Linked DNA regions of Ovis aries. The protein of the gene in region 1 interacts with the protein of each later gene in a pairwise test. Links are inferred from orthologs where the notes say so. Each region holds a gene or a part of one and is shown in the gene's direction. Other genes may lie near its edges. The genes, in order: PSTPIP1, protocadherin beta-14, PTPN12, TULP3, LSM4 and CD2.

Region 1 (3,961 bases):
ACACACAAGGATTCTGGAGGTAGGGGGCTACCCTCATAGCCTCTGCTCTGCAGCTCTCCCCAACAAGTTCTCTCTTGGGTGGTTATTTCAGAGGTGTGGGTGTGCCCCAACTCTAACCCCAGGCTCACATAGCTGGTACTTGGGAGCTTAGGTCTCTCCTGCGGCAGCTCTCATCTGTCTGATCACCACAGTCAGTGGTAAGAGAGGCATTGCTGAGGGTGGTGATTTGTGGACGATCCTGATTCACCCCTTCTTGCCAACACATCCCGGGCTCCGGCCCCCCCTGCCGGCATCTTCTGCTGAGTAGGCAGGCGCTTCCTTCCCAGGTGTCTGGGGCTCCAGTCCAAGGCTCTTCCCAAGGTAATACCAGACACACCGAGAGAGCCCCAGCACCTGCCCTACAAAAAACAGAAACTCCAGTAATTCCCTAATCTTTCCCAAAGATTAGGGGTGGCTGACAGGGAAACCAAGGCTTGGAGAGCTGGAGGGTGGATTAAAGTCCTTCTGAAGGGTAGGGCCCAGACAGAACAAAAACAGGGGCCTCCGCCTGGATTTTTCAAACTCTCCCATTTATGCCTCTGTAATCCTGTCTCTCTCGGTCCAACAACATTCTTTCAGCCTGAAGACCCCATCTTCAGAGGGGACTTCCTGCCCCAGAGAGGGTCTAATCTGGAGACCTGGAGAAGAGGCAGGCTCCATGAGGCTGTTCTCTATTGGCCTAGCTACCTGCTCCCCCCACCTCCATGCTCTCACCTTCCTCCCACAGCCAGCCCACAGCTATGTCTGCCCCCAGACTGTGACTTCCTCGAGGGCAGGACGCGGACTGGGGCATCATGCACGCAGAGTTTGATAATGTTCTGGGTTGGGTGAGCCCCTCCCTTCCTGAAGTGGTTTGCTGGTGACGGGTGGAGAGTCTGGGCTCTCTGGACCTGGGCCGGGGTGGGGCTGGCGTGGTGGGTGACAGCACCTGGGTTCCTGCCCTCCTCCTTGCCCACAACTGCAGTGGGCCTCAGGCTCTCTGGGCTTGTGGCTCAGAGAACATTCCCCGCTAGAACATCAGAAGGGGGCAAGTGGAGGCGCGTAGCAGGGTGGCAGGTGGCAGGCGGGGCGGCTCCACTTCCTGTGGGGCGCCGGCCCTGGAGCCTGCCCCGGGGAGGTTGCACAAACCTTCCTGTGGAGGCCCCGGGGACCGCCTCTCCCGCTGGCCACTGCCTCTGCTGACCCGGGGCTGCCCTCCTTGCTCTCAGTCCTGCAGCCTGGACTGAGTCTTCCATCTCCGCAGGGCTGGCGAGGGGCCGGGCCGGACCGTGGGGCCCTTCCTCCCGTCACTGGGCACCAGCCCTTCCTCATTTTGCCGCTGATTCTAGCCCCAAACAAAACAGGTTGAGCCCTTTTCTTCCCTCTGGCAGTCTCTGGCTTACGGCTGCCTTCGGAGGCGCTGCAGAGGGCTCCGCCGGCCGGGGAGGGGGGCCCCGGGCCAGCCCTGCCGGGACTGGGACTGTGCGCCTGGCTCCTGGCCCTCGTTCAGCCCTGACCGTGGCAGGAGAGCAAGCTTTGCCGTGGCAGTTGCCTGAGGATGATGCCTCAGCTTCAGTTCAAAGATGCCTTTTGGGTGAGTGAAGATGCCTGTGGGTTTGAGCAACTGGAGTGTGCCTGGGGAGGCCAGCTCAGCTGACATTTCCTCAGGGCGGTGGGTTGGGGATGTGGCTCCCAGAGGGGGGGTTTTCTCATAAAAATGATGGCTGATTTTGATCCTTTATTGTCGTGGGGTGAGGGGTGTGACCTGGGCTGTTTCTGAGTTGGAAGTGGACAATGGGGGTCCTCGGTCTGGGGTACTGATTCCTCTGCAAACTTCAGCAAGCAAGGGATGGATATTCTCTGGGATCCCAGGGCAGATCTTTCCTCTGGGAGACCCCCTCTGCACAGCAGGAGCCTTTTAGGAGCATCTGATATATGGCTGGGAACTTGATGAGGACTTGTGAGGTAAAGGAGGAAGGGTCACAGGTCTGGGGACCAGATAAACTTGAATTTGGATTTTGGCTCTGCTATTTAGAGTCTGGACAAGTCATTTTACCTCTCTGAACTTCATTTCTGGCCACCCCCCCATCTATATGGTAGAGATAATTAACAAACGTGCTAACTGAATGGGAGAGCTAAACGAGGGGATCTAATGTAACAAAATCCCCTGCATCTCGCTGGAGCACCAAACGGGAATCTCTTGCCCTTACCCCACCCCTCTTCACCCCTCTTCCTTGCAGACCTTAGGGGTCCTTCAGGGAGGCAACAGGGCTGGGCAATTCCTTGCTCGCTTTCTTAAATTCAGCACATGTGTAAATCAAGTCTTTTCCTTGTGAAATTCCAGCGCCCAGCTGGCTTGTGGGGGTGAAATTGCTGGCCCCAGGCCACACAGCCTGCAAGCCCAATTTGGACCCCACCACCTTTTTTCCTGCTGTCTCTCAGCCTACCCCTCTGCTTCTCAAGCGCTGACTGTTCCCAGTGGCTCCCAGGGAAAAGCTGAGACCTCTCTGGTTAGAGCTGAGGAACGTGGCTGTCCTGAGGGCACCCCCTCCAGCCACGCAGAGGACACTGGCTCTTTGCTCAGTCGGCCTGAACTCAGCCGACAGTCTGGCCTCCCTGGGCCCTTTCCTGGGGCCTCCAGCCAGGAGGACGAGAGCTAACGAGCCAGGTCTTCCTTCCCTTCTGGGCCACGCTCTCCTTGGGGCCCATGGCCAGAGTCTGAGTGGCTTGCTTCCCGCCTGCTCTAACTGCACAGTAGGCAGAGGGCTGTCTCTCTGGGCCTCCATCTCCCCATTTCTACAGAGAGGGGCTGGGACCAGCCCAGAGAAGCCAAGGGAAGCAGACCTGCCTCGGCCCCTTCCAAGCACCAGTCTGGCAGCTGGGACCCATGTGAGGGGTGGGGGCTGCCGTCAGCAGGGGATGCGCAGACTGGACAGTGCATCACTATGTCATTGCTCTGACTTGGAGTGCAGAGCTGGGGAAAAGTTAGGGCTTCCCTGTGGCTCAGATGGCGATGAATCTGCCTGTAAGGCAGGAGACCTGGGTTTGATCCTTGGGTTGGGAAGATCCCCTGGAGAAGGAATTGCCAACCTACTCCAGTGTTCTTGCCTGGAGAATCCCATGGACATTGGAGCCTGGTGGGCTATAGCCCATAGGGTCACAAAAGAGTCAGACATAACTGGGAGACCCACACTTTCACTTGAACATCCAGGTGGTTAGCAGCCCATGGCGGGCCAAGCACACCCTGGCTGTATTTGAGTTCCAGGACGTCTGGTCCAGCCCAGAGCCTTTGGTTCCACCCTCCCGAGGACAGAGCTGGCCTGAGGAGCAGCCCCAAGGCAGGATCTGGGCAGGAAGGGGGTAGGTGGTACCGGAGGGAGCAGGGTGTGGTGGCAGCATTCTACCTGCGGCGGCTTCCTGTGCTGCGTCCCGCCACACTCTGTGCTCGCCCCACCTTTGAGTCGCTTGCAAGTTCTCCTCTCCTCTGCTGCTGGCTCCGGGGGCTTGGGGTAGAGGTGCCACTTCCCTAGGGAGGGCCAAAGCAGGGAGGGAAAGGCCAATGCCCCCGGGCTCTGAATCCTAACCTGTGTCCCAGACGCTCAGCCTGGCCCAGGCCGCAAGGACAACTAACCCCAGCACTAAAGACGTGTCAAGCACTGTCCTCAGGACTATGCATCTGTTGACTCATTTAAACCCAGGAAGTGGATGCTATTGTGGCACCTATTGTTCACAAGAAGAGGCCAAGGCACAGAGAGCCTCAGTCACTTGCCCAAAGTCACACAGCTGGGTGAAACCTGGACAGGTTGGCCCCAGTGTCTGCTCTCACTCAGGTGCTTCATTACCTCTTTAGCCATAGCGCCCATCACTGGATTTTTGGGTTACGTTGGTGAAGGAGGGAAAAACTCAGTCCTTCCTTACCTCCCAGAGAAATCAGATCAGATGG
Region 2 (4,229 bases), on another chromosome or scaffold:
TGCTTGCTCCTTGGAAGAAAAGCTATTACCAACCTAGACAGCATATTAAAAACCCGAGACATTACTTTGCCAACAAAAGTCCGTCTAGTCAAAGCTATGGTTTTTCCAGTAGTCATGTATGGATGTGAGAGATGGACCATAAAGAAAGATAAGCACTAAAGAATTTATGCTTTTGAACTGTGGTGTTGAAGAAAACTCTTGAGAGACACTTGGACTGCAAGGAGATCAAACCAGTCAATCCTAAAGGAAATCAGTCCTGAATATTCATTGGAAGGACTGATGCTGAAGCTGAAGCTCCAATACTTTGGCCACCTGACGTGAAGAACTGACTCACTGGAAAAGACTCTGATGCTGGGAAAGATCTGAAGGCAGGAGGAGAAGGGGATGACAGAGGATGAGGTGGTTGGATGGCATCACTAATTTGATAGACACGAGTTTGAGCAAGCTCTGGGAGTTGGTGATGGACAGGGAAGCCTGGCATGCTGCAGTCCATGGGGTTGCAAAGAGTCGGACAAAGAGCAATTGAACTGAACTGAACAAGCACTTACCAGCCACTTTGTAAATATTAAACCATTAGATTCCTACAATAATCATCCTAAAAGGTAAACATTAATATTACCCCTATTTTATAGGTAAGGAAGCAGAGGTACATAATTTGCCCATGACTGTAGACAGTGAGTAGTAGAACTAGGATTCTAATGTAGATACTGTGATTCCAGAATCCATGTTCATAACCACTATGCAGTGCTATCTCCTGGGTATAAGATGTGTCTTCTAGGTATTTACATATTACTATTTACCTATGCATATATTTTGGCATATTTTGATTATCTGGCATATTTGATTACTTTGGCATATTGTGATTACCAAATTTTCTAGCCTTTGAGCCCCATAAAGACAATGTCATGTCCTTAATATGTAGTTTTTAAAAAATATACAAGTGAAAAAGTAATGACAATATTAACCATAACTGACTGAAATCTATAAGCGTTTATAAGACTGAAGAGGAGAAAACATTTGCAATAACTCAAGAAATGGCCTGAATAAAACATAATTCTTTCGGTTCCGGATATTTTAATGGTTCTCCTTGTCAAGCATTCAAAACTGATAATTCAATGCATTTCATGAACGTTGTTTAAATACTGATTTAAAAGAAAATGGGGAAATGCAAACACATATCGAATATAAAATGTTTTAAGGTATCACTAAATTTGTAGTCCTTATCTGTTAGGGATACTTAGTGAAGTATTTAGAGGTAAAAGTACATGATGTCTGGGATTGCTTTAAAATACTCCAGATGAGTTGATGAATTACTTGTTCAAAGAGAAAAAATTTTTTACTGAAAAAAATTCATAGAGACACATGGTGGCGCTGCAGTATAAGACAAAAACAGTGTTTCTACAGCACAGGGCTCCATTATTCATGAGAAGAGAGAACATCCAACCCACCGAAAAGAGAGGTATTAAGGCGCTTCACCTACAGACTTGGAGGTTTATATAGCCTTCAGAAGTTTCCAACTTAAAAAAAATCAGAGCCTCAGTTTGCAAAATTAGGGCTGAACTAAAAAATTTCCACAAAAGAGGTTTCTTCAAAGAACCATGGAGATCAGAGGGGCACTCGTTCTGCGGAAAAGGCAAGTCCTGATTCTCTTTGTTTTACTGGGATTGTCTCAGGCTCGTCCTGAGTCTGTGCCCTATTCTGTGGCAGAGGAAACAGAAATCGGTTCTTTGGTGGCTAATCTGGCAAGGGATCTGGGGCTTGGTGTGGAGGAGCTCTCTTCACGGGAGGCTCGGGTAGTATGTGATGATAATGAAAAGCATTTGCACCTCGATTTGCTGACTGGGGATTTGCTGATAAATGATAAACTGGACCGGGAAGAGATGTGTGGCTCCACGGAACCCTGTGTGATGCATTTTCAGATGGTATTGGAAAACCCTTTACAGTTTTTTCAGGCTGAGCTGCACATCAAAGATATAAATGATCACTCCCCTACATTTCTTGACAATGAAATAGTTATTAAAATATCAGAAAGTACCGCTATTGGAACTACATTCCTAATGGAGAGTGCCCAAGATTTGGATGTAGGAAGCAACAGTCTTCAAAACTACACAGTTAGCCCCAATTCTCACTTCTACATTAAAATTCAAGACAGCGACAATGGAAAGATATACCCAGAACTGGTCCTGCACAGAGCCTTAGATCATGAGGAGGAGCCTGAGCTCAGATTAACACTTGTAGCACTTGATGGTGGAAACCCACCCAGGTCTGGGACAACTTTGGTCCTCATCAAGGTCTTAGACATCAACGACAATGCCCCGGAATTTCCGCAGAGGCTCTATGAGGTACAGGTCCCGGAAAACGCACCGGTTGGCTCTTGGATTATCACCGTCTCTGCTAAGGATCTGGATGCAGGAAATTATGGGAAAATACTTTATACGTTTTTTCATGCATCAGAAGATATTCGTAAAACATTTGAAATCAATCCAATATCTGCGGAAGTTCATTTGAGATCACAACTGGATTTTGAAGTAGTACAATCCTACACTATAAATATTCAGGCAACAGACGGTGGGGGTCTTTCCGAAGAATGCACTCTTTTGGTGAAAGTAATAGATACAAATGACAATCCACCGGAAGTGATCATCTCATCAATTACAAAGATAATTCCAGAGAACGCCGCAGAGACCCTTGTGGCTCTTTTTAGTGTCCGAGACCAAGACTCTGGAGAAAATGGAAGGATTATTTGCTCTATCCAAGAGGACCTCCCATTTTTTCTGAAACCGACCTTCAAGAACTTTTTCACCCTAGTTTCAGATAAAGCACTGGACAGAGAGGAAAGAGCAGAGTACAACATCACCATCTCGGTCACTGACATGGGAACTCCCAGACTGAAAACCGAGCACAACATAACCGTGCTGGTGTCCGACGTCAACGACAACGCCCCCGCCTTCACCCAGACCTCCTACACCCTGTGGGTCCGCGAGAACAACAGCCCCGCCCTGCACATCGGCAGCGTCAGCGCCACAGACTCAGACGCGGGCGCCAACGCACAGGTCACCTACTCGCTGCTGCCGCCCCCCGACCCGCTCCTGCCCCTCGCCTCCCTCGTGTCCATCAACCCCGACAACGGCCACCTCTTCGCCCTCACGTCCCTGGACCACGAGGCCCTGCGGGCCTTCGAGTTCCGCGTGGGCGCCACCGACCGCGGCTCGCCCGCGCTCAGCAGCCAGGCGCTGGTGCGCGTGCTCGTGGCGGACGCCAACGACAACGCGCCCTTCGTGCTCTACCCGCTGCAGAACGCCTCGGCGCCCTGCACCGAGCTGGTGCCCAGGGCGGCCGAGCCGGGCTACCTGGTGACCAAGGTGGTGGCGGTGGACGGCGACGCGGGCCAGAACGCCTGGCTGTCGTACCAGCTGCTCAAGGCCACGGAGCCCGGGCTGTTCGGCGTGTGGGCGCACAACGGCGAGGTGCGCACGGCGCGGCTGCTGAGCGAGCGCGACGCGCCCAAGCAGCGGCTGGTGGTGCTGGTCAAGGACAACGGCGAGCCGCCGCTGTCGGCCAGCGTCACGCTGCACGTGCTGCTGGTGGACGGCTTCTCGCAGCCCTACCTGCCGCCGCCGGAAGCGGAAGCGGCGGCCGCGGCGCCGGCCGACCCGCTCACCGTCTACCTGGTGGTGGCCTTGGCGTCGGTGTCGTCGCTCTTCCTCTTCTCGGTGCTGGTGTTCGTGGCGGTGCGGCTGTGCAGGAGGGGCGGGGCGGGTTCGGCGGGTCGCTGCCCGGTGCCCGAGGGCCACTTCCCGGGCCACCTGGTGGACGTCAGCGGCACGGGGACCCTGTCGCAGAGCTACCAGTACGAGGTGTGTCTGATGGGAGGTCCTGGGACGAATGAATTTAAATTTCTGAAGCCAATTATCCCTGATCTTCCAGTCCAAGACTCCGGTAGGCATATAGGGGAAAATGAGAACTTTAGAAATAGCTTTGGACTCAACCTTCAGTAAAATAATTTAAACTTCTGATGTTTTGTTATTCTTGGCAAACTATAGACCCCCCTTTTTTTTTGTAGGCCCCTTTTTGCCAATCTGTAATATATTTTATGTTGGATGGTAGTTGCATATATTATCATTTCTCATGCTCTCCTCGCAGTTGCTTTAAAAATCTTCAGTGGCTTTAAATTAGTGGCTATATAATGTCATGGAAAAATAGTTTTCTGATTTTTGGTACATTTGGTC
Region 3 (3,985 bases), on another chromosome or scaffold:
TTCTTTCTGAGAAGAGTAGATTTGTATGTATCAGTTGTATTATTTTAAAAAGAAATATTTTTCTTTAAAACAAATAGGAAATTGGATCTTGCTACTCACACCTGTTTTCTTCAAGTTTATTATTAAATTCCACGGTGCTTCTAAACATTCATCTGGGAAACGGGGCCTGCTACTGATATTTATTTTAACCAAATTGCCTAACCAATCTTATCCGGAAAAAGCATTGTTTGTGGTATAGTGAACAAAAGGAAGTGACCTAGAGAAGTTCATGGATCAGGTCTTTCACTTCAGTCACATTATCACGTTTACGCTCCTTAGTGAGAGGTAACATGGTGCTGGTGAGAGAAAAAGGATCTGAGTTCCAGTTTGGGCTCTGCTAAGAATATACTGGGGGACCATGAGCAAACACTTTCATTGTAAAATGGTGAATAAGACTAGGACAGATTTCTTTGATTACTAGAAGACTTACAAAGATGCAGTCTAGGGTGAAAAATCTATTATTCAGTTCTGAGTTGCTCCGAATCTAAAGGCAAGAAGACAAATTCTCTCCAATTCAGCAAACGTGTGTTATGTATTAGGACCACTGTGAATCTCAGGCGCTCTTTCACCAGGTTTTAGACTGATTTGCAAAAAAGCAAAAAAGTCCTCTCACTGAAGAAGCGTTTCGTTTCTCTTGGCCGTGGCCATTGCCCAAAGTGCCAAGATCTAATTGCCGTCAACATTAAGATGAAGACGTACCTGCTGCGAACGTGAAGACACTACAGTTCCCAGCATGCCTCTCTTCCCACCGCCGCCCTCTCCCGCCCCTACTCCTGGACTCTTGCCGGGCCGGGACTTGCAGTCCCAGCTCAAAGCCGGCGGCGGCGCGAAAGCAGTCTAGAAATGTACTTTTCCCACAAAAAGGCGGTGAGACCGCAGTTTCCAATTCAAGTCCTACTCCAACTGACTAGCGTCTGTCCGGCGGAGTCAAATTCCCTCCAACCAGCTCTCTTCAGACCGGCAAACTGCTGGGGCGGAACCACGCCCCGGAAATGAGGTCAAGTCCCCCAGCTGACGGCTGAAGCTCCTTCCAGCCACTCCTAGACGGACTAGGACAGGCGGGGCGGGCTTGGGGGCGTGGCAAGCGGGCGTGGCTCAGCTCGGCGTAGCCCCGGGGATCTAGCCGCTGCGCGGGGCCGCGCGTCTGGGTGGCAGCGGGGGCGCGCCCGTGGAGAGTGGCGGCTGCGGTTGCTAGTCTGGAGGGAGGGAAGGAGGAACCGGGAAGGGGTGGGGGGGGCAGGGCGATCGGAGAGCCGTGTTCCTAAGGCGGTGGCTGCGTCTCCGACGGAGCAGGAGCAGGGCGGGGAAGGAGGATGGAGCAAGCTGGGGGTTGGGGTTGGCGCTAGCCGCTGCGGCTCGTCTACTACTGTGGGAGAGTGGCTGCTCCTGGAAGTTGTAGGATCGGGAGCCGGGCTGGTGCCGCCGGTGCCGCCGCTGCCTTGGGCGGTGGGGAGGAGCAGGGAGCGTCAGGGGTCGGGAAAGACGGGACGGGTAGGGGGCGCGAGCTGGGGAAGACTGAGCGGGCTCTGCGCCGGGCGGGCGGGCGGCGGGGGGGCCAGCGACCGCAACCGGGGGGACGGGGGAGGATGGAGCAAGTGGAGATCCTGAGGAAATTCATCCAGAGGGTCCAGGCCATGAAGAGTCCGGACCATAATGGGGAGGACAACTTCGCCCGGGACTTCATGGTGAGTCCCTCCCCTCGCTGTTGCCTCCTCTCACCGGCATCCAAGCCCACTGCCTCTTCGCCCGCCCGGCCCGACCGCCGGCGCTTTGTGTGCGGCTGTAAGGAGAGGGGCGGAGGGGGCGCGCGCCAACCCCAAGGGCCGGGGTTGACTCGGAGGCTGGGAGGTGAGATCGCCCCTCGTCCTCCTTTCCTTTCGTCCTGCGATCGCGGCCCCTTCCGCCCGCGTCCGGAACGCGAAGAGAGGCCGCTGGCCAAGCCCGCACTTAGCGCCGCCGCCCGCGACCACCTATTGTTTCTCGGGCTGGGAGCGGGAGGCGAATGAGGTGCAGGCCGGTAGGCTCTTCTCATCTCCCCATCCAGTCTGCTCCTCCTGGGAGGGTCGAGGCAGGAAGGAGAGCGGATAGCGCCGACTGAGGAACGGAGCTATTAAGGTTGCATTTAACTCGTGGGGTCCCTTTGCTCAAGCTGGTCTCAAAAGAGGTCAGGGTAGGACTTTTTGCTCTTTCTGGGTTCGCAGTATTATCTCCAATGCAAGAGAAAGGATAGTCCATAGGAAATCTCGTGGAATGTTCGATTTCCATTTACTGCCGTCCTGTCTCTTGTCTCTTGAGACCCAGGTTTTAGATGGTGTAGGGGTCAACGTGATTTGAGGTTGAGGGATAAGTGTGTGTAGAGGCAGGGCGTGGGGGTGGAGGGTGCGTGGTTATCCCGAAGGAAGCCTACTTCAGACTCCCTAGGGGATACTGCCGAAGGCGGAGGGGATGTGACTATCACTTCCTATCCGGGGTGGGGGTGGGGAACTTGGGAACAATAGTCCTGGTGGGGCGGAGGCGACTGTACGGGCTGAAGCCCTGAACTGGGAGATAACCTTCGTAGTCTCCCCACCCCCCTTCCGACATCCCCCCTCCCCCTTCCGCCCTTTGCTTGTACTGGCGGGCTGGATAGGAGGTTAAAAGTCTTGGTCGTGGAATTGCTCTCGAGCCATCACTACGAGGGGGTCAGATCCGAAGGCGTGGGACCAGAAGTCGACTTCCTCCATTGCCACCCCCCCTCCTTTATTTTTCTGCTGGACAATGTTCCCTTTAGGGTTGTTTCTCGCCTTAGGAGGCGGTGGTTGCGGCGCTGCTCCTACGGATATTGCGCAAGACTGGGGCGTTGGAAACCCTGGAGGTCTGGGGAATGGAAAAGGAAGTGGGACTTTGGGAAGTGGTTGCTCCTTAGTCTTGGCGGGGTTTGGAAATGGGAAATAAGCTAGGGAAAATTTTGCTTCTGGGCAAGATTCACCTCCAAGAGTAGTCACCTAACTCTGAAATTCTGGATTGTGAAAAAGATACACAGTTAATGTGTATAAAAATGAGTCGCAAACATTGGCTAGTTTTTGTTTCAAAGTACAGTTTAATTGTTTACAAGGTGCAGGTGAAATGGCTTTTCGCACTGAAATACGAAATACTTTTCACATTTTAAAGAGACTTTGGTCTAGTAAAACTTTAGCGTTAACATTCTTAACCCTTAACTTTACTCAGTGTCATAACAGTATAGTTGAGCTTTGTGATTCCCGCCTCCCTAAACCAATAATAGAAGATAGGAGTTTGGTTTTGTTAGTATCTTTTGAAAGTGTAAAAAATGTTGATTAAATAATTTATGGTTTATTTTAAACATTTCCTCTTGATACTTAGCCCATGTATCTCCCCCCCCCCAATTTCCCTTTTATCTGAAAAAGTTAAAGATGTTTCCTTCTTCCTATTGGGAATTTTGAATGTGTTAGGTATCTTTGAAATGACATCACAGTAATTGGACAGAGTCCCCCTTTTATTACTCTCTAGCAAACATAAAAGAAAATATTTACTTAGATTTTAAAACTAGTCTAACACAGTCTTACTTTGGATGTGGAAGGAGAGGTGTGTGACCCTGTCCACTTGGCATGTTGGTCCTCTTGTTCTCTATGGACATATCCTGTCAGGAAAGGGCATTGTTTGCTGATGCAGGCCATCAGGACAAGTGCCCAGTCTCTGAACTCCTGTACAGGGGAAGTAGCCTTCGGGTTCATGCTTTGGGGATGAGTCAGGGATTCCTATTGGAGATTTCGTTTCTCCGGGACTAAATGAGTTTTCTTTTTCTTCCCTAATACCTAGGGATATCTAGGTGATTCTGCATTTAAGATTTGATGACTAAGGCTGTTCTTTTACAGTGCTTGCTTTTTTTATTCTGTGACTTGATAAGCAATAGCTATAATTAAATCTGCCAGTTATGCCTCTTTTTCTC
Region 4 (3,500 bases), on another chromosome or scaffold:
CTGTCAGTGCTTCATTCCTGTCTATAGTCAAGTGACGTTCCATTGTACAGATAAGCCATCTTTTGTTCTTGTCATCAGCTCATGGACAGTTGCGGTGGTTCCACTCTGGCTGTTAGGAATAGCGCTGCTGTAAATAGTTGTGCATACATTTTCATGTGGATGTATGTTTTCCTGGCCTTAGTCTTATCCTTGGGTGTCCTTGAGAAAAACTTGATACCATTTATTTGTGAACTGTGTGAAAAGAGCTCATGGTGGTCCCTCCTCCGAGATGGGTAGGACTGCCTGTTGCTCGGTCTCCTTGCCAGTTACGATTTGGAGGCTGTGCCAGCTATTGTATGAGGGGCAGCCTTACCCCAGAGACCAAAGAGAAAGAGGGTTGGGTTTCAAGCGGAGCTCTGCTTCTTTGTCTTGGGCAGAACTGCTCCTCCTGGGCCTCCCCACTGTCGTCTACAGGCCTTTGTTACCTTCACAGACTGAGCCTCTGTCCCCGGTGAACTCTGCCTCCCCAGCTCCTCCTCTCCCCTCACAGCGCACGAAGAATCACAGGGGCTTCCGCCTTTTGTGTCTGACTTGCTTTCACTTAGCATCGTGTCTTCAAGATGCGTTCATGTTGCAGCAGGCGTCAGGATTTCATTCCTTCTTAAGGCTGAATAGCGTTCCATTTGCGTTTGTGCCACGGTTTGTTAATTCATCGGTTGCTGGATATTTGGGCTGTTTCCACCATCTGAAAATTGGGAAGAACACGGCTCTGCACATCGGTTGTTCACGTGCCTGTCTGTGTCTCTCTTCCTCCTTTTGGGAACATACCCAGAGGTGGGATTGGTGGACTCTGGGGCAGTTCTGTATGTCTAGTTTAGGAACCACAATGTTGCTTTCTGCCGTGGCCGCATAATTTCGCATCACCACCAGCAGTGCATGAGGGTTCCAGTTTCTCCACATCCTCACCAGCACTTATTTTCTGGTTTTGGGTTTTTGTTGTTGTTTTTTAAAATTTATTATTTTACTTATTTATTTTGGCTTATTTATTTGGGTCTTTGTTGCTGCCCAGGCTTTTCTCTAGTTGCAGCAAGCTGGGGCTACTCTCTAGTTGTGGTTTTGGGGCTTCTCAGTGCAGCGACTTCTCTTGTTGCGGGCCACGGGCTCTAGGTGGCGGGCTTCAGTAGTTGCAGCTCCCGGGCTGTAGGCTACGGGCTTAGTAGTTGTGGCACAGGGGTTTAGCTGCCCTGCGGCATGGGGGATCTTCCTGGATCAGGGATAGAACCCGTGTCACCTGCATTGGCAGGCGAATTCTTTACCACTAAGCCACCAGGGAAGCCTGGTATGTTTTTTTTATAGTAGTCATCCCAGTGCTTGTCAAGTGGTATCGCATTGTGATTTTGATTTGCATTTCCCTAATGGCTAGTGATGTTGAGAATCTTATCATGCTTATTGGCCACTTATGTATCTTCTTTGGAGAAATGTCTATTCAAGTCCTTGATCCATTTTTGAATTGGGTTTGTTTTATTGCTGTTGAGTTAAATATTCTAGATATTAATCCTTATCAGATGTATGATTTGCAGATATTTTCTCTCATAGAATGTTTTAAAGAGGCTCAAATTAGGGTGGCAGAAGTGGGCAGGGAAAACGAGGGATGGAGTAGGTGAGAATATGAAGAAAGAGTTGTCAGAATGTGCATAAAAGAGCCGTGTGTTAAGTTAGAACAGCTGGAATGTTTTAAGCAAGGGAGTTAAAGTTATATTTGGCTCAAAGATTTTCTGGCCTTTTTTAAAAACAGTTTCTCCCTTTCTGCCAGGGATCTCAGGGAGTTTGAACTTTGACGAGGAGGAGACTGATGGGGAAGAAGGAGAAGGGAACCAACTAAGGTCTCAGTCGCCGTGTTCAGAGGCAGAGAGGCCCGGTTCTGCATCCAACCAGAAGCCAGCCCCGGTGTGTAGTCCTGAACCTTCTTCCTCTGGGGCTGATTTCGCTGCTTGCTGGACACGTCTACCTGTTTAAGTGCCATCACTGGATGAGGGCTGCTTCCAGGATTTAAGCTGGAATTATATTTAGAGCCCACGACTCTATTTCCTGTGTCTTCAGCCAGCTTTTGTAAAGCTGTATCCCATTTTCGTACTTCTCTGCTTCATTACTCCCAGTGGTCACATACTTACTCAACTTCTCAGAGTTTTTCCTTATTTTGTCAGAAGACGGAAGACATATGGGTAAATTAATTTTTAAGTTAATTTGTAAGTTAATTTGTAAGTTAATTTGTCCTTTAAGTGTTTCTCAAAGAGAACATGAGGTTTCCTGACCCAGCTGTGGTTGCTCTCTCAGGGCACAGGGGCCTCCGGGACCGCATCCCCGCACTCTGACATTCAGCTGGGAGAAATGGAGGACTTGGAAGGCTTTGCATACAGTCCTGCCCCACGAGGTGTCACAGTGAAGTGCCGGATAACCCGGGACAAGAAAGGAATGGACCGGGGGCTCTTCCCCACCTACTACATGCACTTGGAAAAGGATGAGGATCGCAAGGTAGGCGAGTGGCTCTTATCTTGAGATGGAAGGAAGTGTGCTGTCGGGGCAGGGACAGTGATGGTCTTAGCAACAGGGGTTGGGGGGCACCAGTCTCAGACCTAGTCAGCAGGAACGAGGGTGAACTTACAAGTGTCCGGGGCAGTGTTCTCACTGTCTTCAAAGAGGTCCTAGTCTAATAGTCAAAATCCACCCCCGCCCCAGAAGAAAGAGAGTTTTATCAAGGAGTCATAAAATGGAGGAGAATATTTAAATGATGTTTTTACCTCCATCCTTCTTTTGGGGTGCAGGGGTTTCCAGCGTGCTCTTAGACTTTTATTCTTATTACATGGTAGAACATGCCAGTGTGGGAAAAAGAGAGTACATTTTAGGGAATAGGAGGAATTGGAAAAACAAAAACGTATCAGTGAAATGTCTTATTTTGCATCCTAGAAATTCTAATTTACCCTAAATTTGAGGCAGTTAGTATTTGCTAGTGACCACCCTATTTTGTGTTAATACCAGGTCTAAGTGGATGATTTTAAGGTTCTAGAAATAAGATGGTGGTAGTAGGTGTCAGTGCTCTTGACAGCCGCTGTTCACTGCGTGTGTGCTGCGCACCAGGCGTGTGTGCTGCGCACCAGGCGTGTGCCCCGGCTTTGTGTGTGTCATCACCTGGAACCCATAAGACAGCGCTGTAAGACAGGAGTCCTTGTCCCCCTGTGCAGGCAAGGTGACTGGGGTTCGGGGAGCACCCACATCACCCACATCAGTCTCAACCTGTCTGACTCCATAGTGCCCCCCCACCCCCGGGTACTGTCCTCGCCCACCTCCCTGTCACTCTCCAGGTTCAGCAGGGTTTGGGAAGGATGTCCACACCATGGTACCCACATCTCTGAAGCCACAGGAGCTCAGAACAGCCACTAACACAGTGCAGCAGGAGGGCAGTGCGGTGGGGAGCGGGGGGCCCAGTGTCCAAGGTCCTGCCTCTCCAGGGTAGAGGCCGTCTT
Region 5 (3,240 bases), on another chromosome or scaffold:
TACCCTGCGGGGGCGACGCCAGGCACAGGGAGCCTGAGTGGATGGATGCTGCCCGGCTGCCTACACGTTCCTCCCCACGGCTCTGACACGTACCCCCTGTTGCAGGACGGGGACAAATTCTGGCGGATGCCCGAGTGCTACATCCGCGGCAGCACCATCAAGTACCTGCGCATCCCTGACGAGATCATCGACATGGTCAAGGAGGAGGTGGTGGCCAAGGGCCGTGGCCGCGGTGGCCTGCAGCAGCAGAAGCAGCAGAAGGGCCGCGGGATGGGGGGCGCCGGGCGAGGTAGGCCCTTCTCTCCGCCCTCTCCCCTGGCAGGCAGCCGGGGCCTCCCCGCTGGAGCGTGACTGCCGCGCGCGGCATCTGGCCTGGCCCAGTGCTGGCATTCTCCGCTGGTGGCGTCATGTTGCCGAGGGCCTGGCTCTGCGCCCCTCCTCCATGGCACTGGGGGGCTGTGACTCACGGGGCTCTTCTGTGGAACAGTTGGTGCTGCTGGTTGCCACCTGCATGCCCCGTGTCCCCCACCCCAGGAGCCCAGCTAAGCCCTAGTGGTCAGTGCTGGCCGCGCCCATCCTCACAACATGGGCCCTCCTCCCCGCAGTGGCTCTTGGTGCTCCCTCAGCTCCAGATGCCGCCCAGCAGACTAACCCAGCACCCACACAGACCTGGGACTTGAGCCCCACCTGTGTTTCCTGGCAGGTGCTCTGGGCACCTCGGGGAGGCTCAGATTCCCCCCTGCGGAGAAGATCCCCGTGGTGCCCAGCCTGGGACCCTTCCCTGCTGTGACTCCTTTAGACAAAACCAAGGTCACGCCTTTTGGGTAGATCACCCCGCACCACCCTGAAATCATAAATCTTGCATAAAACTAAACGTGCAGTCAGCTAGAGCCGCAGCCCAGAGGCCAGCTGTGGGCCCCACCCTCCCCCACCCGACTTCTGTCTCACCCACCTGGAGGGGCTTGTATGCCAGGTTCCAGGAACCCACCCTGGAGGCTTATATGCAGAGCCAGGAAAGACATAGGAGCCCCCCTGAGCTGAGGCTTGAGTGACAGAAAGGAGCCAGAGAGAAGAGGGCACCGCAGGTGGAGAAGAACCTAGGATGGGGGTGAGCAGGGCCCCAGAGGTCCCAGGACCTGCCCCCAGGGCTAGGCTGCCCACCCAGGGTGCCATCGCTGTCGAGTAAACTGCCTGAAGGAGCAGGGAGGACAGGGAGAGGCGCTTGCATAGGGGCCCCTGCATGACCAGGCTCCCCTTGCCCAAGCTGGGTCTTGCTCCATTAGAGATGAGGCTGGGCAGACCCTGTCAGCCCTGGCCCTGTCCCCTGTATGCGTGTGGAGGAAGGGGGCCCTGGAAGGCCAGGCTGCTGCTTCTGTGACTTCCTGGGCAGGGGCTGCACCCACCCTTGGGCTATTCACCTTCCCCAGCAGCAGTGCTGTGTGCTCCACGTAAAATGCCTTTCGGAAACAGCCCCACCTCTGGCTGCAGAGGTCAGAGCTCAGGAGGCTCCCCCGCCCCTTCTCTGGGCTGGACACACAGAGACCCCACCCCACCCCATTGTTTCAGCAAGGCAGGGTGGGGTCCCCCGGTGCAGCCCCAGTCACAGAGCTGAGCATCGTTGCTCCACCCCTGGGCTGAGTCCAGGCCTCATCCTAGCTTGTACTCCCAGCTCCTCCTGGAAACCCTTCTGATTTTGTCCTGCTGATGACTACCCACCCCCTCACCTTGGCCCTCAGCCCTCTCTTCCAGGAAGCATATCCCCCCCCCCGCCGCCGCCCCCGCAAGCCCCAGTGTGACTTGATGCCAACCTCTGTCCTTCTTGGCATCCTTCGCACCCCTGGGGCGCCTGGTCTGATATCCCTTGTCACACTGAGAATGTTGTGGAGCAATACCCCTGCCCAGCCCTGGTCAGACACTCCATCTCAGATTTTCAACCTGCTCTTCCCACCGACGGTACAGTCACTGCCCCCACTTTACAGAGGTGAAAGCTGAGGCTCAGAGGGGTTCAACGACTTGGCTATAGTCTAAGGGTTCCAGTTCCTGGTCCTTGCCCACAGTGACCCTCCCAGCCTGGCTCTACTGAACCCCCCCTCCTGTCTCACAGGTGTGTTCGGTGGCCGGGGCCGAGGTGGGATCCCTGGGACTGGCAGAGGTCAACCAGAAAAGAAGCCAGGCAGACAGGCGGGCAAACAGTGAGCCGCCCCTCCATTCCCGAGACTGAGCTGCCGCGCCGAGCACCTGCTCCCACCCTGAGGCTGCATTCCTGGTCTCCAGTTTATGACTGTTCAGAACAAAAAGAAGAGGCAGGGGTCGGGGAGGACCCCCTGCCTGTCCTCTGGTGGTCCTCCTCTTTTTTTGTTAGCCAGCAGTTCTATGGTTGGAAATGTTAATTCTGTGCTTCTGGTTTTGTGAAGCCGCAGCCAACTGGATTCCTGGAAGATTCTGTGTTTAATGCATCGTTAAAGCCCTCACTCTTGTTTTAAGGGCAGGCATTTTCCAAACAGGTTTGTTTTGCATTCTGTGTGGTAAACAGACGGGAGGTTTTTATTTTCAGCTGTTTGCACTGAGATTGATAGCCTGGAGGGTCTCCTGAAACACGGACCCTGAAACTGCCTTTTCGAAATGGATCCAGGCAAACGTATGCCTCAGAAGCTGTTCTGGGGGATGATGCTGGGCCCTATTCCGTCCCTTCTTCTCTCCCTCTTTGTCTTAGAAAAATAAAAACAAATACAACTACAAACTGCGAAATCCATAATTCCTTTGAACCACTGGGTGAATCTAGTTGTAGTGTCCTCAGGAAATCACAGCCCCCACGCAAGAAGTTTCCTTTTGCCCCCTGTGGCCTCTCACCAAGGGGAAGCATTTCAATGGGACACTGGTTCCCATGACCCTCAGCAGCCTCTTACAAAAGGTGGAAGGCAAAATGGGGGTCTGGGCAGTAGGGGAGCCCCTTCCCCTCTGTGGGGCGGTGGGGGAGGGAAGTTGTGGGTGGGAGCCAGTGGGACACCCACACTGCCTGTCCTCAGCCTCCATCTCTGTTGTGCAAGCACTGTTCACAGCAGAGCTCCCTGAGAAGCCGTGACATGGAGCTGCCTCCAGGAACACATGAGGAAGGCTTTTCACGAACTGTTTACCTCCTCTTAGGGTCGGGGCACTTGCCTGTCCGCGACTCAGCGATTTGCCTGAGACGCTGAGCCAGCACTTGTGCGGAACACTTCCGGCGATGTGGTCCTTTGACCG
Region 6 (3,500 bases), on another chromosome or scaffold:
TCCCCAAAAGTCTACTTATCTGATACTCCACGATTATCTTTCCATTGCTGCCTGGTCAATCCCCTGAAAAGAAGCCGAGTACAAAACAAAACAGCGATCTGGCCGTATTTCCTTAATTTCTATAGCAATTTTGGCTGGTCAGTGACCCTAGGAAGCAACCCTGAGCTGGTATGAAGTCAGAAGTAAGACTTTAATATAGACTTTGAATTAGTTCTCAGTTGTGCAACAAACGACTCCATATTTAGCGGCTTAAAACAGCAAACAGCGTTGAAGATAATAATCTCAGGGTTTCTGTGAGACGTTGAATCTGGGGCTGGCCTAGCTGATGGTTCTGGCTGAGTCATTCATGAGGCCATCATCAAGGGGCTGCAGTCATGTCAGCCAGGCATGAGCACTGCTGGGGGAGGAGCCACTTCCAAGTTTACCCGTGGCGGGCCTGCGGCTGCCTCCCACTATGGCAGCCCCTTCCCTCAGAGCAGCTTGAGAAACAGCAAAAGTAAGGGCCCAGAACGAAAGCCAGGGCCTTTGGTCTTTGCGTACTAGGTCTCAGGTCCCTTCACTGCTGCTGTACTCTACTCATTCAGGAGGCACTCAGTAAGCCCGGCCCACATTTAATCAGAGGGGGTCACACACAGGTAGAAATCTCAGGCGGCAGGGCTCAGTGGGGACCATCCTAGAGTCCACAAGTCACACGCTCAGGCCAGTGTCACGTCACCTCCTGTGAAATCTCTGACTCCCAGCCATCCCTCTGTGCCCCCCATCACTAAGGCGCAGTGCTTGAGGCAGCCCCTCCTCGACTTTACAAGCTCTTATCCCCTTTCAGGATGCTCTTAATTAGAGTTGTCAGATTTAGCAAATTAAAAAAACAAACAAACAGTGTAAATATTTTTTTTTTGGTCACCCTGCATGGCATGCAGGATCTTAGTTCCCCAACCAGGAATTGACCCCACACCTCCTGCATTGGAAGCACGGAGTCTTAACCACTGGATTGGCAGGGAAGTCCCTAAAATGACAGCGTAAGTGTGCTCCAAGTGTTGCATGGGACACCCTTATAGTAAAAAATTATTCATTGTTTATTTCTAATTTAACCAGTCATCTCCTGTAACCAGATCCCAGCAGTATGAAAATGTGTGTGCATTAGGGATAGAGGAAGAGAGGAAGGGCTTTGAGGGGAGCTGGGGTTCGAAGACTGGAACCTCCCTGTGGTGCAGAGTTGGGGGAGCCAGGTGGGGGAAGGGGCACTAGAGAGATGGGAGGAATACCTAGGGCAAGCCTGGGGAGGACAAGGTTGCTCTTGAAGACCCTAAAGTGGATCTGGACGCATCATCCTAGAGAGGAGCAAGGACGTGATTAACCACTTGGCTCAAAATAGATAAGCATGTACTTAAAATCAAAATAGTAGGAGGAGGGAGCGGGTTTAGATACGCAAAAGGACTCTACCACGTGAATTCGTGGGCATATTATCTCTGAGAGGGAGTGCAGAAAAGAGTGTGGCTGGATTTAGTGACTGTGAGGACATAGCTTTGAATGACAGCTGAGACATGCTGGAACCTTTCCCACAGAAAGCACCCAGAGGCTGTGCTGGACAAATCTGCGAACAGATTGTGTAAGGCACACCTACATTCCCAAGTGTGCCCAGATAAGGGCACACTTGTCCCGTCTGAGGACTCTGAGGAGACAGGCTGGCGGCTGCATGGTCTAGCCCCGTGTTCCTCAACTGGTCCTAGGCTTGCCCCCAGCACCCCCAGGTCAGAGCCCAAGGTGGATTCTGATAGCCCTGGCCCTTTCTCCAAGCAGGCAGAACCTAAAGAGCCCTTCTGCCTTTCCCAGTCCAGTCTCACAGCAGGTTAGGATTAGGCCTGCTTTTGTAATGGAAGCCCCTTCATCCACAGAGCCTAGAAACTCTGTGCAACAGGCAGGCAAAGAATGGTTCAGAGAGAGAGACACTTAGGAAGAAAAGCAAGGATTAACAAACCACTGCAGTCTGAACACCTGTTTAGTTTGGTTTCTGAGCCTCTGGCTTGTTCCTGGGGCCCATCCTGGGCTTCATGTGTAACAGTATCTTCTCAAGAATGTTTGGCTGGAGAAGGGTTTCCTTGTGATGCTGGGCCGAGCTCTGTTCATTCTCAGGATGGAAGAGTGCCCTGACCCCTGGCCCCAGCTGCTGACTCTGTGACTGCTATTGACTCACAAAGGGGGAGATGGCCCAGCATCCCTCTCAGGAAACAGCTCCCAGAAGTGCCAGAGCACAGAACTGTAGCCAGGGCAGGCCCCCATCTTTGTGTGTAGTTACACACTTTATAAAGCACTTTCACATCCATTATCTGATTGGCTTCCAACAGCCACCTATAATGTAAATTCATTATCTCTGTTTTTTCAAAGACAGCAACAGGCTCAGAGAGGTGAAGTCACTGGCCAAAGGTCACACAGCTCCTACCTAGAAAAGCCTGCACTCAAATCCATTCCTTTTAACACAGTCATTGTTACCCTCATTGCATTACAGCAGCTGAAGGTCTGTGAGTTGAAGATCAAGTTCACTGCTGCAGCTAACTCACTGTGTGTCTGAGTTTCTCTCACAGGCCAGGGAAAACCTGGGAGAGGGTGCTGGCTTTGAGGTTAGAGAGCTGGGCTGGACACATGAAACATGGATCCTGTCTTTGGAAAATACCTGGTCATGAGAATGAGGAAAAAGCAATCATGATGTAGGAGGGCAACCAGAGATGAAGCTGGATAAACAGTGCAGAAACATGAAGATGAGGGGCTGCTTAAAGGAACCACTCGGGAATGGATGCTGTGTGACCTCAGGCAACTCATTCTTCCCATCTGGGCTTTGTATGTGAAACTAGAGATTACGCTAGGTTTTCTCTAACCTCGTTCTCAGATCTAAAACTTCTGTGACATCCTCCTTGAGAGGGGACAGACCCTTGGCTCACGAAGAATCAGGCATTTCTGGTCCAGAAGAACAGCTCTCGAAGGAGCCTTGTGAGAGGGCTTATCTTGGACCCTGCCCTCCTTGACCCTGTTCACCAGCCTCCATGAGCTTAGCCTCCGTAAGGCTGAGAAGTCCCATCAGACTCTTTCATCCTTAAGATGGGAGGCAGGAGACTTCGAGTCCTTGGCCAGAGCAATGAAATGGCCCCTCTTCCCAGGACCTCCCATCCATGCCGCATCTGTTCCTCTTGCAGATGAAGGTCTGGATTTGTACCTCATCATCGGCATTTGTTTAGGAGGCATCGTCTTCCTCATCTTCGTGGCACTACTCATTTGCTACATCAGCAGGAGGAAAAAGCAGAGCCGCAGGAGAGATGGTAAGCTCCCCCTTCTTCTGCCCCACCGCAGGCCCGGGTGAAATCCCCGTGGAAACAGCTCATGAGGCTGGCACCGAGTCTGGAAAGAAAAAACTGGAAATGGGTAGTTTCAGAACGTCAGAGCCTTCACCGGCGGTTACAGTTTGTTCCATTTTGTGGTTAGCTTGAGTTTTGAAAAACAGATTCTCAGTG

What was found.
Region 2: the proteins of PSTPIP1 (region 1) and protocadherin beta-14 interact in binary tests that used the Homo sapiens proteins (3 or more experiments, as listed by UniProt). The two-hybrid records come from large-scale screens. The link is inferred for Ovis aries from reciprocal best matches to the Homo sapiens genes PSTPIP1 and PCDHB14.
Region 3: the proteins of PSTPIP1 (region 1) and PTPN12 interact in binary tests that used the Homo sapiens proteins (3 or more experiments, as listed by UniProt). The link is inferred for Ovis aries from reciprocal best matches to the Homo sapiens genes PSTPIP1 and PTPN12.
Region 4: the proteins of PSTPIP1 (region 1) and TULP3 interact in binary tests that used the Homo sapiens proteins (3 or more experiments, as listed by UniProt). The two-hybrid records come from large-scale screens. The link is inferred for Ovis aries from reciprocal best matches to the Homo sapiens genes PSTPIP1 and TULP3.
Region 5: the proteins of PSTPIP1 (region 1) and LSM4 interact in binary tests that used the Homo sapiens proteins (3 or more experiments, as listed by UniProt). The two-hybrid records come from large-scale screens. The link is inferred for Ovis aries from reciprocal best matches to the Homo sapiens genes PSTPIP1 and LSM4.
Region 6: the proteins of PSTPIP1 (region 1) and CD2 interact in a two-hybrid assay, tested with the Homo sapiens proteins (2 studies listed by BioGRID and IntAct). The link is inferred for Ovis aries from reciprocal best matches to the Homo sapiens genes PSTPIP1 and CD2.

The regions. Positions count from the first base shown.
Region 1 is NC_056071.1:29,891,891-29,895,851, forward strand, and holds the start of PSTPIP1 (proline-serine-threonine phosphatase-interacting protein 1), read left to right. Parts: upstream 1-1,161; 5' UTR 1,162-1,576; coding exon 1,577-1,612; intron 1,613-3,961. UniProt on the Homo sapiens protein: Involved in regulation of the actin cytoskeleton. May regulate WAS actin-bundling activity. Bridges the interaction between ABL1 and PTPN18 leading to ABL1 dephosphorylation.
Region 2 is NC_056058.1:49,975,379-49,979,607, forward strand, and holds the start of protocadherin beta-14, read left to right. Parts: upstream 1-1,429; 5' UTR 1,430-1,598; coding exon 1,599-3,998; 3' UTR 3,999-4,229. UniProt on the Homo sapiens protein: Potential calcium-dependent cell-adhesion protein. May be involved in the establishment and maintenance of specific neuronal connections in the brain.
Region 3 is NC_056057.1:45,191,065-45,195,049, reverse strand, and holds the start of PTPN12 (tyrosine-protein phosphatase non-receptor type 12), read left to right. Parts: upstream 1-1,185; 5' UTR 1,186-1,625; coding exon 1,626-1,724; intron 1,725-3,985. UniProt on the Homo sapiens protein: Dephosphorylates a range of proteins, and thereby regulates cellular signaling cascades. Dephosphorylates cellular tyrosine kinases, such as ERBB2 and PTK2B/PYK2, and thereby regulates signaling via ERBB2 and PTK2B/PYK2.
Region 4 is NC_056056.1:212,691,583-212,695,082, reverse strand, and holds part of TULP3 (tubby-related protein 3), read left to right. Parts: intron 1-1,792; coding exon 1,793-1,926; intron 1,927-2,313; coding exon 2,314-2,511; intron 2,512-3,500. UniProt on the Homo sapiens protein: Negative regulator of the Shh signaling transduction pathway: recruited to primary cilia via association with the IFT complex A (IFT-A) and is required for recruitment of G protein-coupled receptor GPR161 to cilia, a promoter of PKA-dependent basal repression machinery in Shh signaling.
Region 5 is NC_056058.1:4,695,295-4,698,534, forward strand, and holds the end of LSM4 (U6 snRNA-associated Sm-like protein LSm4), read left to right. Parts: intron 1-105; coding exon 106-289; intron 290-2,104; coding exon 2,105-2,196; 3' UTR 2,197-2,740; downstream 2,741-3,240. UniProt on the Homo sapiens protein: Plays a role in pre-mRNA splicing as component of the U4/U6-U5 tri-snRNP complex that is involved in spliceosome assembly, and as component of the precatalytic spliceosome (spliceosome B complex).
Region 6 is NC_056054.1:94,163,468-94,166,967, forward strand, and holds part of CD2 (T-cell surface antigen CD2), read left to right. Parts: intron 1-3,185; coding exon 3,186-3,308; intron 3,309-3,500. UniProt on the Homo sapiens protein: CD2 interacts with lymphocyte function-associated antigen CD58 (LFA-3) and CD48/BCM1 to mediate adhesion between T-cells and other cell types. CD2 is implicated in the triggering of T-cells, the cytoplasmic domain is implicated in the signaling function.